2 linked regions of the Struthio camelus genome follow. The protein of the gene in region 2 purifies or fractionates together with the protein of the main gene of each other region. This does not show direct contact. Links are inferred from orthologs where the notes say so. Each region holds a gene or a part of one and is shown on either strand. Other genes may lie near its edges.

Region 1 (7,017 bases), on a different chromosome or scaffold from region 2:
CCAGAGCTCCCCATCCACCTGGTACAACTGAACATCTTCCAGAGGGTGATGGCTTGCAAAGCTCCTCCTCTGCTGGGGGCCCCGCTCCCATGACCAGCCATCATTGAACTCCACCTGCACCCATGTCCCCTCCTCCTCCCACCATGATGCCAGGGGAGGTGGCAGGTGCCTGGGAGCCTTCAGGGACACAAGAGAGCAACACTCTGCCCTGCAGCACCACAAACCCTCAGGTACACAGGCTCAGAGGGAAGCAGAGAAGCCAGTTTCTCTGCGAGAGGTTGAGTGAGAGCTACACAGGAGCAAAGTGACCTTCTCCAGGGGCAGAAGAGCCTTGTCACAGGCAGCACGTACCTGGAGGACCAGTTTCTTTTTGGATAGACCAGGGTTGGGCGGTGTTGATGGTGGGAGAGGGCATTTAGGCTGGGATATTTGCTTTAGAAATAAAAGTCCTCTTAGGAGACATCCACCCAGGGGAATCAGGGTGACCAGCACCTTCCACAGGAGGAAGGGGGCAGGGTGGACAAGCAGCTGGCCTCAAGAGGCCCTCCTAGGCATATTTCCTCCATGTACATTTTACACATACCCACTAGCATTTCCATTCCTTTCCCAACCTCTGCCTGCTTCTCTCTTTACAGTTTGCAATCCTCCAGGGCTTCCCTTCCAGAGCAAATGGGAAGCTCTTCCTTCTCAGGGAGGGCTTCTCAAAGGGGCTGGTCACATCCACAGCCACTGTGGGGTGGCCCATGGGATCCAGAGGACTGCTGGGCCTTTGCTGCTCCCTTTGGGTGCTCTGCCCAGTCAGGCTGGCTTGCTCCTTCTTCCAGCCTGGAGCTGGAGTCACTCTGCTGGCCCCCATTGCTCCCACACATGGGAGCTCAAACCCAAGGTCTCTCCCTTTTGGATACTTGCCTGTAATTTGAGGTGTCCAAGAAAGGGTCATTTCCACTGGGGTCCCCAGGGAAGGCTAGTGCCAGCTCTGCCAGGGCACAAGCAAGGGCCAGCAAACACACAACCAGCAGGGCAGGGGCTCCACCAGCCAGGGCCTGGCCCAACCCCACAGGCCCAAGCAGGGCAAACCCAGGAGTCCAGACCAGCAGCAAGCTCAGGCTGAGGAGGCAGAGCCAAAGGCCAGCCTAGGAAGTCAGCCCACAGCTTGGGGTCTGGACCAGCCGCATCCCCAGCCAGGCACAGCTGTGGCCAGGCTGAGGAGCAACACCCCTACAATAGAGTTGATGGCCATAGACTGAACTTAAATGGGCACTGAGGGTGGGCAGGTGGAGGCCCCAGGTGATGCTGGTCAGGGCCATTAAGAAATTTTAGTGCCCTCAGGGCCCTGACAGGTCCCTCTTAAGCTGCTCTTGTCCCTATGCCAGGAAGCCCGGCTCCTGCCCAGCCCCATGGGGAGGGTGCCATCACTGAGGGCTTTCTCTCCAGCACAGAAGGACTGACCTCCACTAGGCCCTGTGATGGACACCAGATTTGCTGACTTGTAGGCTCACTCTGTTGATCCCGGCCCTGTTTGCCTTGCATGTGGTTTCCACGCACGGACCCCCAGGGGTGCACAGCCCCTCGGCAGCACAGGGAGGCGCCCCGGGCCCCGCGTCCTCTCGGCAGACGTGTTGGAGGGCCGTTCCTCCTTGTATTTCTTAGACCGTGGTTGAACGCTGTGGTGACCCCAGCTGCAGGTCTCCTAGTCCTGGGCCAAAGCCCATAGCAGCTGCATAACCCAAAGGGGCAACCTGATACACGTTTCCTTTGCCGGGTAGCACGGGCTGGGATTTGGGGTCATTTCGGTGGGTTACCTGGGGCAAGCGCCGCGCTGAAGGAGCAGGCGGGAGAAAGCCGCCGCGCAGCAAGCCAGCGTTGCTCGCCGCTATTGCTAGCGATTCGGGGACGAGCAGGATCCTTGGCCGCGCCGCCGCCGCCTGCGGGAGCGCGGACGGAAGGACGGGGCTCTGCGCTCCCAGGCCCCGGCTAGGCTCAGGGCAGGCGGCTCGGCCGCCGCGTGCAACGTGATGACCGCCTGAGACCTGAGCCGGGGCGATGTGACGCAGAGATGGACGGCGACTTTCCTTGTATCGGATGCTTCGACTTTCCGAACGACTCCCGCACCTCGCATGAAAGAAAATATAGAGAGGGCAGGCGGAGGACAGGGGCTCGGGTTACGGCACGCTCCTCTCTGCCTCCCTACTCTCCGTTATGAATTTGTTTCCATTTCCCCCCCCGCCGGTCTCGGCCTGAGCCACCGTCACGTCTAGCTCTGCACCCGCTCGCGCTCGCCTTCCCTCCGTGCCCCCGAAGCGCCGCCGGCTCCCGCAGCCTCGGCCGCTGGCCTCGCGCCCGCCCCGACAGCGGCGGATGCTCAGGGAAGACAGACAGACAGGCAGGCAGGCAGGCAGCACGCGGGGCGTAGTTGCTTCGCTCCTCGCTTCTCCATCCCCGCTTTTACCATCTGCCTCTTCCGCATTTTAATCGACTCCCCGCTCTCTCCTGCCCCGGCGTGTCCCCCCCGCAGCCCCGCTCTGCTCCCCTCTCCCGCTCCGCTGCTCTTTATGCATGAGCTCATTGCAGCTCGGAATAACCCCTCCGCTCTGCTGTCCTCCAACAAACAAGCTGACAGGGTAATGAATGGCTTCAGATGGTAATTAGCGGCGGAGCTGCTAATAATGAAATGCATTTGCATTTTAAGCGCTGCCGAGGAACAGCAAGACCCTGCCGCTGCTGCCCCCCCGCCGCGGGGGGAGCGCGCCCTCCGAACCCCTGCTCGCGATGCGGAAACGCTTTAGCGTGATCGCACCTCGTCTCGGAGGCTGCAAACGAGCCGAGTTTGTTAAGCAGCAATTGGGGGGGGGTGAAGCTGCCCGGGATGCAGCATCCGACCGGCGTGGCGCGTCCCGGCACCACGCTGCGCCCAAAACGCGGACCGCCGGCGGCAGGAGTTGGTCCCGGCCCAGGGAGCCTTGGGTGGGCTGGCTCAGCGCCAGGGACTCATCCTGCTGCAAGCCCCAGCCCCGGCTGCGTTCCAGCCTCCGAGGCGCGCTGCATCCGCGCCCGAGCTCTGCGTCCGCCTCGAGCAGCCCAGCGCGCCGGACTCCCGCAAGACGCGTGGCTTTTGTGCCGGAGCAATGTGTTTCTGGAGCTATTTCATCGCTTATGGAGATTTTTTTAATTTCCATGCCTATAAAGTTTATGTGTAAAGTTAACGAGAGCTGCTTTGCCGGTCCTTCGCTCTGAGCCGAGATGCTCTGTGAATGGTTGCCAAAATCCTGCCCATTTATTTTCCTAGTCTTTTAGCCTGAAGATGCATCTCTTAAAGGCAGCAGTTTCCATGAGAGGCTTAATCCATGGCAGCCTGCCGGAGAACGGAGCCGAGCGGCTTATGCAAGGATGTCACAAATATTCATCACATGTAAGGGGAAAAAAACAACATTGTGTTTCCCGGTGCGAGCGAGCGGTTCGCGTTGGAAACGTAGCGCCTAGGCAGGCTCACTGCCGCAGAGCGCCGGGCGGGACTTAGCGGGCGCTCCAAGCCTCCATCCGCCCCCGACGCCGGGTGTGAGCTTGGGCCAACGGCGTCACCTTCCCTGCCTCGGTTTCCCCTGTCTGCGCCAAAGGGATCCAGTCTCCGGCCTCTTTGGGTGCAGCAGCCTTCTCCCTGCAGACCTCGCCGCTAGGCTCTGCGCCCGCCCCGAACGTGGGTCCCTGCGGTGTCCCGAAGCCCCAGCGCTTGGACCCCTGGGTTAGGCAGGTTGTTTGGGGCCCGCAGAGACGTCCTGGCCGGGAAGGGGACCGGCCACGGCCTGCCGTCCCGCAGGTTTCACCTACGTTGGCATCAGGTCGAGTGATTTATTTACGTATTTTTCAAGCCCTGCCAGGGTGAAAACAATCCAGGGGCCTCCAGAGGCCGATAAGATTTGAGTGCAAGTCAATACGCGGGATGTCTTTCCAGTGTGCGATGATCCGCCGGGGGGAGAGGAGGGGACAGGCACGCCGGGAGGTGGCAAGGGCAGCCAAAGGGCCAGCCTCGGCCAGGGACACGGCCTCTTCCCGGGGAGCGGTTCAGGCTCAGCTCTGCGCCGGGCAGGCACGTTTTGGGGGCTCGTCGCTCCCTGGGCGCCCCCAGGGCGGCTTTGCCTGGCAGGCGGCCGCGGGCCGATCCCGAAGGCTGCCCAGCGCCCCGTCCCTGCGTTATCCACGCCGCCCCGTCGCAGCCAGCGCCGAGACGGCCGGCGCGGGGGGGGCGAAGCGACCAGGTTCGCTTTAAGGGGCAGGACTCGGGCGGCGCTGGGAAGCCGAGGGCGAGCGCTGGGCTCTGCCTTCCGCCTTCGCCGGGGCTCGCCGGGCTCCCCGCCGTCGCCCGCTCGCCGGCCCTGGGCGCTGGGGAGCCTCCGCCGGGCGCGGGGCTGGGAGGCTGAGCGAGGGGGGGGGGGAGGAGGAGGAGGAGGAGGGGAGGAAGGGGAGGGAGAGGGGGAGGATCTGCTAATTACACACAACGGCTCTGGGGGCTGCTGAAGTCCAGAATGAAGCAAAGAGCAGCAGAAGCGAGCGCTGCAGCGGGAGCGCAGGAGCCCAGGCATCGCCCAGCGCCGCCGCGAGGACGCAGGGGACACCCCGGGCACCCAGCAGCTCCGGCTCCCCGCAGGACAGCCTCCGGCACCGCCGCCGCGCCAGCTGCTAGCTCCTCCGCAGCCAGCCAAGGACAGCGGTAGGGGCTGGTGGTCCCGGGGGTGCCGCGTCAAACTCGACCTCCTCCGGGCGGGCGGCGGAGGGACCCGCGTCGTGGTGGCCGGGGGCTAGGTGCCCCCTCGGATCCGCGCTCCCCGCCGGCGAGGGATGGCTGCCGGAGGAGGGGGAGCCAAGCCCGTCGCCCAGTCCAGGATGGAGAACTTCCGAAAGGTCAGGACGTCGGAGGAGGAGAGCCCCTTGCCCTTCCCCGACCTGCCGCCCGGCGTGGTGGAGATGAAAGTGAAGGAGGGCAGCAAGATCAGGAACCTGATGGGCTTCGCCATGGCCCAGATGGAGCTGAAGGGCAGCCGGCAGATCGTCTTCAGCGGCTGCGGCAGGGCGGTCACCAAGACCATCACCTGCGTGGAGATCATGAAGAGGAAGCTGGGAGGCCTTCACCAGGTCACCAAGGTACGCTACAAAACCCTGCTGGAGGTGTGGGAGAACAAGGACCCGCTGCCCGGCAGCCCGGCGCAGAACCTCACCGTCCACAAGAACGTGCCCTCCATCTGCATCCTGCTCTCCCGGGACCCCCTGGATCCCACCCAGACGGGCTACCAGCCCCCGGAGCCCGGCGCGGGGCCGCGGGCGGAGGAGAGCCAGGCCGGGGCAGAGGCGCCCAGCTCGTCCGCCAAGGGGCTGAAGAGACCCCCGGCGCCTCCCCGCGAGGAGCTGGCGAGCAAGAAGGTGCAGGTAGAGGTCCCCGACGGCCCCCGGGGCGCCGGCACCGTGGACCTCCAGGCGGGCCACCACCACTGACTCCCCTGGCGCCCCTCGGCCCGGCGAGGGTGCTCGCCCCGCGGGGGCTGCCGCCGGGGCCGGGGGGAAGAGCAGCCAGCGCCCGCGTCTTGGACCCTCCGCGGGGCGCGGGAGCAGGCTGGGGCCGGCGGCGGGTGCTGGTCCCGGCCGGCGGCGGGTGCCGCGGGCCGCCGCAGCCCCTCTGCCCCGCCGGCTCTCCGTTGCACCACCGCCGGCCGGAACGGGGGGGGCCGCGGCGGGTCGGGGCGCGGGACAACCCTCCGGTCCCAAATTTGTTCTCCCCGCCACCACCCTCTGTCTCCAGCACCTCGGGTGTTTCCCCCTGCCCGGCGGGACGGCACCCCGGCCCCCCGCGCAGAGGAAAGCGACGGGGAGGGAGGGGTGGGAACCGGTTAGGGTGGCCTTGTGCTGACCACACGAGCAACGAGTTGCTCGGGTCTCAGCGCTGAGCTCCCCGGCATGCCAGGGGACGGGGCCGATTTGCAGGCTGCCGGCGGGGAACGCGGAGCCCGGGCAGGGCTCTCGCCAGCTCTCCGGGACGGCGCCGGCCCCGCCGCAGGAGCGGGAGCAGCCTTCGCCTTTCGGAGAGGTGCTCCCGCGGGTCCGGCGCCCGCGTGTCGTTGATGCGCGCTGAGATGTCTCCGACGTCAGGCGCGATGGCTTCGCTCAGAGCCCCTTGGAGCAACGCCTTCGTTATCCGAACGGCTTCAGTTACGCCCGGAGACGAGCTGCCAGGTTTATTAAAGCCGGGCTCAGCGCCTCGCGGCTCTGGGATTCGTCCCGAGTACGGCTCGCAAACGAGCAGCCGCCTCGGCTCGGTCCGGGCTCGCGTGGTTTTCGGTCGTCGTTTTTATTCTGCCCTCTGCTCCGAAGCGCCTCGAGCGGGTCCGCGCCGCCCCGGGCGTTTTATCTCCCGGAGGGCTGTTCGCGAAGGCACCCGGCTCCGCTCGGCTCAGGGCTGCGCCAGGCGAAGGCGAGGAGCAGGAGCAGGAGGAGGAGGAGGAGGAGGAGGAGGAGGAGGAGGAGGAGGAGGAAGCCGGGCGTTTTGTTTCGGGCGTTTTGTTTCGCCATGACCTTGTTATCTCCCCGAGCAGACAGCTGCTCCTCCGGCCCGAGGCCTGTGCTTATCTGCCCTGCCACAGATTGATTCCTTTCACTTATCTGCCGCCGTGTAATTGAATATTAATTCCCAGTTGTTGTTGTTTTATTTGCTTTTTAAGCCTTTTGTTTCGTTTTGTTTTCCCAGGCAGGGACAAAGCCGGGGGAGCGGGGGGGAAGTCACGAGACGGGGAAGCTTCCCCTAGCTTGGGAGTTGGTTTTCAGGGTCAGTGTCCTGCTCCGTTAAAAATCCAGTCTTCACTTCTCGGGGGAATACGAGTCCAGCCTCCCTCCCCTCCCAGATCTCTGCTCGGAAGATGCCAAAAGATGTGGTTTTGGGGACAGGGACGGCAGGGGCCGCGGGGCTGTAACTGTGCAGAGCTCCTCTGCTCTTTTTGGCGTTTTAAGTCTCTTTGTTTTGATGCAGAAAAAAGT
Region 2 (8,029 bases):
CATGTTCTCTTATCTCCTCTCTTTTCCCTTTAAAGCTTTTTTTCTCTCTGGCAGTCATCTGAAGGGAGCAACATTTATCTTGAGCTAAATAAGTGCGGCCTGATAGATGAAGACAGTGTGCTGTGAGTATGCAATAAAAGCAAGTTGGCTGGACAAAGGCTGCATCTTTCCTCACATCCACTTTACTTTTCCTTTTCAAGGATGACCCGCTACAGCTCCACTAGCAACAAAAGCGAGGCTATTTTTACTCTTGCAAGGGAAGCCCAGGCTTTGCCAGATGTGGAACACAGGCTTGTGCTGAATTATGAGAGAATCAGGAGAGAAGGGAGCTTATTTCTGCAGGAATCTACATAAAGATGAGAGGTAGAAGGTAAACGATTGAGAGGATACATGGAAACACTCTTGACAGCTGGCTTGCAGAATTAAGACGCAATAGGGGAAATGAAGAGGTCAGGCTACATGAGGTTAGAGCTGACTTCATGGGAACTAGAGATGCTGTATTTTTCAGTAGGAACTCAATAAATTATAACATTAACGAGAGAGGAAAAAAATTGTGCATCTGAAAGGTGTTTTTGAGGGAATACAGAATATGCATGACAAGGAAATTGCATAAGAAGGATCTCAAGCTAATTCCAAAATTCCCCCCTTCCCCAAAAAAAGAAAAGAGGAGGTAGGGAGGCACTAGGTAGGGGACAGAATAATCACAGAAGGACCCATCAGGTTTAAATAAATGCTGACACACCAGAAAGCAGGAAAAAAAAACAGATAAAGAAATGCATACACAATTTCGTTAGTACTTCTTCTATTCCTTTAAAAAACTTCTCAGAATAAATAATTACTGCATTTTACTGTGTTATGATAAATACAGTAATATTGTATATTCTTCATATTTTGATTACTTCCTTACCTTTCTTCACAAAAGTATCAATGAATTCATGAGTGACCAATTCATGAAGCAATAAATTCCTCACCAGATAGTACTCTCCAACATCTGCAATCGTACTTTTCAGCATTTCAGGTAGTATGCCACATTCGGGGATCAAAAAAGACACCTATTAGGAACACATTTGTAATGTAAGTAATGTCCAAAAATTGTTCTAGAGGAAAACAGAGACATATAAAAGAAAATCTCTTTTTGAAGAGAACAGTATGTTACATCAAAATGAGATAAGGAAAAAAAATTAAGTTATTATCTTCAAAATTTAACAATCTGCACAAAGTCTCCATATGTACAGCAATAAATTATTTGGATTTTGCATTTTACATGCTATACAATAGCATTTGATGTGTTACACAATGAGATAATTTTACACGGCATGACTTGACAGAAGATCTTGTTTCAAGTCATGATGAAGTTAGCTTGGAATATTTCCTTCAGCCCTTGTTGCATGACGCAGTTATAATTAGGAATGTATGCTAGGCATTTATGTAATCTCCATTAAAAAGTTAAAATCAATGTGGAATTTAAACTTCTTTTTGAATAAATACATTCTACTCTGAAATACTTCAGAAGTCAGCAGATTTAAGACATCACCAGACAAAAACCTGAAGATGGTCTTATGATTGCCAAAATAGTCATAAAAATTGTAAAGTCTTTTTCCTTTTTTAAAAGGAAAGGCTAAGATTAAGGCTTAGTTAAGGCTAAGATTTCAGTAATAGGTTGCTAATTTAAACTAGGAAACTAATTCTCAAAAGGGATGAACATCTAGCTGTTCTTACTAAATTCAGCACTCAGTCTTTCAGTCCAATTGCCTACCATTCATTTCCATTTACTGTGTTTAAAGCCTTTGCTGTAAGTGTTTCACTGATCAAGAGGTTTTCTAAGTCCATGGCAAACAAACTTACTACCTGGGCAGGTACCAAGCATCCCAAAAAGCATGCACTAGCAGGAGAGCCCCCGCCCTCATCCCCTAAAAACACTTATCTAGAAAAAAGTTTTTCCAAAACAAAACGGCTCACAGAAAATGGGTACGCATCTCCTTTGGCACACACATACATACAAGAGGAGTAACAACTGACAGATTAGCCACTTACCACCGAATTAGCAACCTTCTTAGTTAGCTACTCAAAAAATTGCTGAGGCAAGGACACAGATGGGATCTGACTGAAACTTGCAGCAGTCTAAGGCAACAGTAAGCAGGCAAACATTGGACACTGCAGCGTTACGTTGTTAAAATGAGGAAGCAGCTGTTGATAACGACACTACACAATACGTTGGGAGAAGCGCATAAAACACGGGAGAAGGGATTTTCAAGGTCCTTTACCTGAAGCCACGCTTCAGCTGAAACACGACAGCCCTCACTGCTTTGACGAGACACGCTCGTGGGTACAGCCACCCACGTTACTTTCTCGGCGGCACTCACCCCACACAACTTTTGTCACCTCTTCCACCACTTCACCCTCGCACTTCTGACCAACCAACCAACCCCAACCACGAGCACTTCGCTCGGGCTAAGGCTTGTTTTGGCTTCACTGCGGGAGAGGGACTGTTTCGGGAAGAGGGCCCTCCAGCAGCTCAGCCTTTTGACCACAGGAAAACTACGTGGGTTAGCAGCCCCGCGTGGGCTGGCCGCGCTCTGTTCAAGGCCCATAGTAAAAGGGGGCTACCGGGCACCATGCGCCAGCGCGGCCATCTCACCCGCGGGCTCCTCCCCGCGCCCCAGAGCCACTAACGGCCGCCGGACGCGCTCCCGCGACGGTTAACACGGGCAGCGACCGTTAACAACCGTCCCCCCCGTCCACCCCGGACGGGCGAGCGCGCGCGCGCGCGCACTCACGCGGCAGTTGTAGGCGTGGTCCCGCACGTGCGCCGCGTGGCGCGAGCGCGCGTGCCGCGCGTGGCTCTTCTCGCACACCAGCAGGTGCCGCGGCGCCTGGCGGAGCCGCCGCAGCGGGAGCGACATCCTGCTCCGCGCGGCCCGCGCGCCGCGGGAAGAGCCGCCAATGGGGCAGCGGCCCCGCGCAACGTCACCCGCCTCCCGAAAGGCACACGAGCGCAGCGCGGGCGGGGCGGGGGGGGAGGAGCTGTGCCAGGAGGTCACTTCCGCCTGCGTCGGCCCCGCGGTGGCGGGAGGTGCGCGCATGCGCAGCCGCAGAGGGCGGGGCGGCGCGGCGGGGCGGCGGTGGGGTCTGTCCAGTCGCACACGCCCGCAGGCGGGTGCGGGGTGCGGGGTTGGGGTCGGCGGTGTCCGAAAAAGCCCGGCCTGAGTCCGGCTGCAGAAATTCACACGCTTTGGCTTTTCGAACAAAGGGATTTGTTTCAAAAATAGCCGCCCTGCGGCCTGGCCCTGCGGGAGGTGGGCTGAGGCCCGGCCTGCGCCCACCTGGCTGGCAGCGGGAGCGGTGACCGACGCGTGGCTCGCCCAGGCCGGCAGCTCGCAGCTGCACGCAGGAGCGTCCTTCTCGGTGTCGAGGAGGACCGGACACCGGCCCCCGACTCCTCTATCCCTCAGCACCTTCAGCAGCAAAGCTGTGTCCTATCTCCCACCTGTTCGTTGCTCCCCTCACCAGCTTGGGTACTGCAGAGTCCCAAAGGCTGCGAGCGGACCCCGTTGGCATCAGGAGGGGATGCGTTGGCCCTGCAGGTGTGTTTCCTGCTGGGGAATGTTTTTAGGGGACACGGACGCTTGGTCGGAAGGAGGAGACTGCTAGAAATATGTCATGGTATGCCTGGTGGCGTTGGGCAGCCTTCAAGATGTCAGACCTACTTTCATGTGGGCAACCTCCATTCTTCTATGCTCAACAAATACAGAAAATATGTAAACCCAAGAAGCTGCACAGGTGTTTGAGCCATGTGAGAAAGTCCATTATCAACATGCTATGCGAGGCCATCAGGACCCTGTGGAGATATACTAAATATCTGAATTATAATGACAAAATTGGGTCCGTTAGAACTCTGAGTATATTTATAATAACATCTGCAGTTTTACAAGATCATGAAAATAAGATCTTCTGTCTTGTACAGTCTTCTACTTACTTCAGCTCACACTAGGTAGGATTACTCAGTTTAGTAAACACTGTGCTTAAGTGGGAGTGGACCACTGCCTGCAATGCATCCTCTCTCAGATCGTTGTCTACATGGTGTATTTTGTATAAAGAATACCCCAAAATTTCATCATCCCCTCTTACTTGAGTTATTGTCTCTGTGGTCCCCTAACTTTATTTTCTCTCATTTCATTGTAAATGGTACCTAACAACTTTTTTGGTATTTATTGTGCTCTTTCTATGCACTGTGAAAGGCTATATTTAAGTTTACTTAAAATGTGTCTAAGATCTGTTCACTAAACACCCATCAAGCTAGTAATGCTGAACTTCAGTTTTTAGACTAGTTTGACAGCAGTGGTTCCAGCAATCACAAGCTCAGTCTGTGAAGATCTTGACCTGTCATTTCTAGATTTTATGTCTGATGTTAAAGTTCAGGAGTACGTGAGTTTGATTACTCAGGTCCTCTAGGTGATTGAATGTAAAAAAGAAAAAGGTTGTTTTAGTTGCTAAATTGGTTTTAAGGTATAGACTGTGGTAAGGTCATTTGGTTAACAGCTACAGTGTTATGCAGATATGAATCGTCAAATTCCAATGATTTTACTAATTCACTGGTTACAAATTGCTGTGGTTTGATGCCACAATTCAAGTACCCATGTTCATTACCTGATCAGTTATTGGCTGTTTGAGTGGGGTAAATATATTGCATTTATGTTTTCTAGATATGCATTTCCAGTTTGATGAATTTATGTTGTGGCTCAAGCTGCCGTGTTGCATGTGTCTAGGCTCCACTTCTGGCAGACGCCGCACTTTTCTGGTGTTCTGACAACGTTTTGGTCTCTATGATGTCGACTAAATAACTATAAAGAGCTACCAGTGTGAAAAGGCTGGTCTTCGCAAGCTCCGTGTTACAGAACCATAGTTGCCTAATGGAAGGAAAGATATTACTGAGAAGTTACTAGTTCAGTGTTTCTGGCTTACTAGGCTGATTCAGACCCGCTCGTTTCTGAGTATGTGCTTCCCAATTGCTTTTTTACTAAAATATCATTAAGATAGTGTTGCTCTGGACTCAGTGGCTGAATCCTCTGACTTGTGAGACTAAAGTACATATCTTGAGGTCACTGGCTGCTTAACATTTATAGAGAAAGTCTGAATTCTGCACTTACATTGCCTCTGCAAATTGGAATAATTGGATTATTATAAATCAGAAATGGCTCTTGCATATGTAATCACAGTAGCCTTCTAATTTAAAGCATGACAAAATTAATGGGAAAAACACTACTTGATTAATGTCATTTGTTGTACCCAAAAGCTGAAACCTCTGTGAGCAGACAAGCATTACACTGTGATGATCAGAAGACCTCTGTTCTACTAAAGGGGTGAAAAGTTCAAGTCCCTGATCAATAAGCCCAGAGATCCAAAGAGGAAATTCATCCATACTCAAGGCAGCCTGTGGAATTGTGGGGCTGTTGTTGGTGGATTTTATTCGTTTGTTTTTTGTGACCTTCTTTATGCTGATACAATTTATACTTCCTGCTGGGGATAAAAATAAATAGGAGGAGAAATATGGAAAAAAATATGCTGGGGAAGGGGTAACAGTCAAGAGGCACAGTTACATATTCAGCATAGCATTTCAGGGATCTTGGCAAGAGTACAGTTCACTGCAGCTCGGTGAAGGATTCATGTCACTGTTCAGGCAGTTTGCTTCACCTATCAGATAATCAAAATTAACTTCCTCTTTCTCTTATATGTTGTGTATCCTACTGTACAGTGTGTCTGTTTTAGAGAACTCCCTGGAGACTGTGATCTACATTAAAAAAAAAGGGGAAGGTTTTACCCAGTAGTCCATTCAGTGGGCTACATATATGTAAGCTGATTGTTCATAAATGCTGATATTTTCATAATGATTATTACAGTTTTGTGAGTAATTAGGTGTAAGGTTTCTGTATGTTGTTAAAAAAAAAAAAGGTTATTTCAAACTTTAAATAATTTAAGGACTCAGTCCCTGTAAAGCTATCACCGTTTCCCTAGGAATTTCAAACCCGAGACTGGGTAATGCAGTTTTACAGCAATTCAGTCTCTACATGTTTGAAGAGAGTTACAGGCTGTAGTCAAGAGGAAAGAAATGCCTTGAGGCAACCTGTAGTAATAGCTTACAGTAAGGTAGGATCTCTAAAATATTTCCTGGAACTAGTAAAAATTTTATTCAGGTTTTGTTTAAAATGACTGAATTTGGAAAGAAAAGCCTGATCTTCACATTACAGAGACTATTTCTTGTTGCAAAAGCCAACTATTTCTTTCATGCATTGTTTCACTATTGAAAAGCAATCCTAACATTCATTCTGGTGCTTCTTCTGTGATAAAAATTTTGCATGATAAGATACTTACAGTTGTGTACAATCAGATCTTAAAAGCGTTTGTCACATGCATGTTGAATTTGGTTTATGATTTTACACTCCATCCCAATTTTTTTGTTTCTAGTCACTATTTTTTCTTTTTAAATATTGTTGATTACAAAAAAAAAGAAGTTGTCTAAATCTTTTAGCCTTGGCCATTGTAATCAGTACTTTATAAAACAGAAACAAACAGATCTCCCTGATGCCATGTTTATCTGAAATTAATAAAGTGTATAAGACTCACTGTTAGGTTGTAATGTTAAGACTAACTGAAAAATGGCATTTTACTTGATCAGTGTTGACTGCTTTTTTCATTGAGGAAAGTGGAAAGATGGTGAAGCTGTGGATAGTTAGCTTGGTATGCTGTTTTTACACACCCAGGTCCAAATGTTCAGAGCAGTGGTGAATGTAAAAGGGATCCCACTCAGACTTGTTTTTCTAGGGGATTACAAACAAATCTTCTGCCAAGCTGCTCCCCAAAGAAGCTTTTCAAGCCAGGAAGAACATTGAATGCTAACCATGGACTGAGTTGCTGGTTTTGGTTTAAATACTATTAAAAACAAAAAAATCTGTTTCTTTTAGAATTAAACAAAAAAAACCCTGTAATCTGGTAAACCTCACACTCACTCACTCACTCACTCACTCACTCTAGTGACACTAAAGTGGGACAATTAATTAGATGGGTAATTCATCTCACAATCTTCTGGGAAGTGGAAGTGTTTTTGATCTATATTTAGGGAGAGTCTTTACATGCCTTCTAAGGATTAGATTTTGGTTTATCATTGCATGGTGATGGGAAATCTTCATGCAATTGCTCTCTCCACCCAACCAGATATCTCATTGTTGTTCACATTATGGCAGTGGCAAGGCACGTGCATTCTTACAAGATGCCCCTTGGGGCAAGGTATTCCACAGCATACGGGGAAGAGTTGGAGTATATTTCTCTCTTTGCGCTTTCTGCAGAAGGGAATGAACTGTGGCCATGTTCCCCTGGTTGCTCGCTCTTTTTTCAGGAAATGTCATAGTGAATGTTTCCACACAGCCTCCATCCAGCTAAACCCTGGATAGGCAATAAAACCCTGGATAGGCAATAAATATGTGTCTGTTTCCTTGTCCAATAACAAAACAGGGAAACACTGCTGCCTTTTGCATTGCTAAATCCTCCTCCCCTAGCTCTGTAGATAACAGCCACCTTTTTTTCCTCAAGTCGTCTAACCAATTAACATGATCAAAATTAAACTCAGAGCAGTTTTGTTCTCAACCTGTACATAATTTTTCCACTTACATCAATTCATCTATTAATAGATATTACCTGCCCCTGCAAACATTGCCTTGGATATGTCCTTAAGAGCATTGTATTTCCAGTAATGTTAGTACTGATCCTGGGATTCCAGCAGGGCATGCTGTTCTTTTAGTGCACCTTCATGAAAATGCAGAATCCAAAGCAAAGAGAAACATTTCCTCCTTTCCTTTTAAAGGAAAGTCTGTGCTGAAATTTTAAAAGTATTCAAACTGGGATGCTTCTTCTGTTAAGATCAGAGCAGAGTAATTTCTTCCTGTTTCAGTAAATCAAGTTTTCAGTCTGCTTGAAGGGAGAGGATTCACAATTCCCACCAATAAATCATTAATTTTTTTTTTTACCTATTATTGTG

The links.
Region 1: the proteins of RPP40 (region 2) and RPP25 purify together in Homo sapiens (affinity purification with mass spectrometry; 3 studies listed by BioGRID and IntAct, counting the BioPlex papers as one, with this or other methods). This does not show direct contact. The link is inferred for Struthio camelus from reciprocal best matches to the Homo sapiens genes RPP40 and RPP25.

Annotation. Positions count from the first base shown.
Region 1 is NC_090953.1:23,324,465-23,331,481, forward strand, and holds RPP25 (ribonuclease P protein subunit p25), read left to right. Parts: upstream 1-4,475; 5' UTR 4,476-4,833; coding exon 4,834-5,484; 3' UTR 5,485-6,497; downstream 6,498-7,017. UniProt on the Homo sapiens protein: Component of ribonuclease P, a ribonucleoprotein complex that generates mature tRNA molecules by cleaving their 5'-ends. Also a component of the MRP ribonuclease complex, which cleaves pre-rRNA sequences.
Region 2 is NC_090943.1:103,784,197-103,792,225, reverse strand, and holds the start of RPP40 (ribonuclease P protein subunit p40), read right to left. Parts: upstream 3,063-8,029; 5' UTR 2,904-3,062; coding exon 2,778-2,903; exon of another isoform or gene 2,265-2,777; intron 2,122-2,264; exon of another isoform or gene 2,035-2,121; intron 1,053-2,034; coding exon 908-1,052; intron 1-907. UniProt on the Homo sapiens protein: Component of ribonuclease P, a ribonucleoprotein complex that generates mature tRNA molecules by cleaving their 5'-ends. Also a component of the MRP ribonuclease complex, which cleaves pre-rRNA sequences.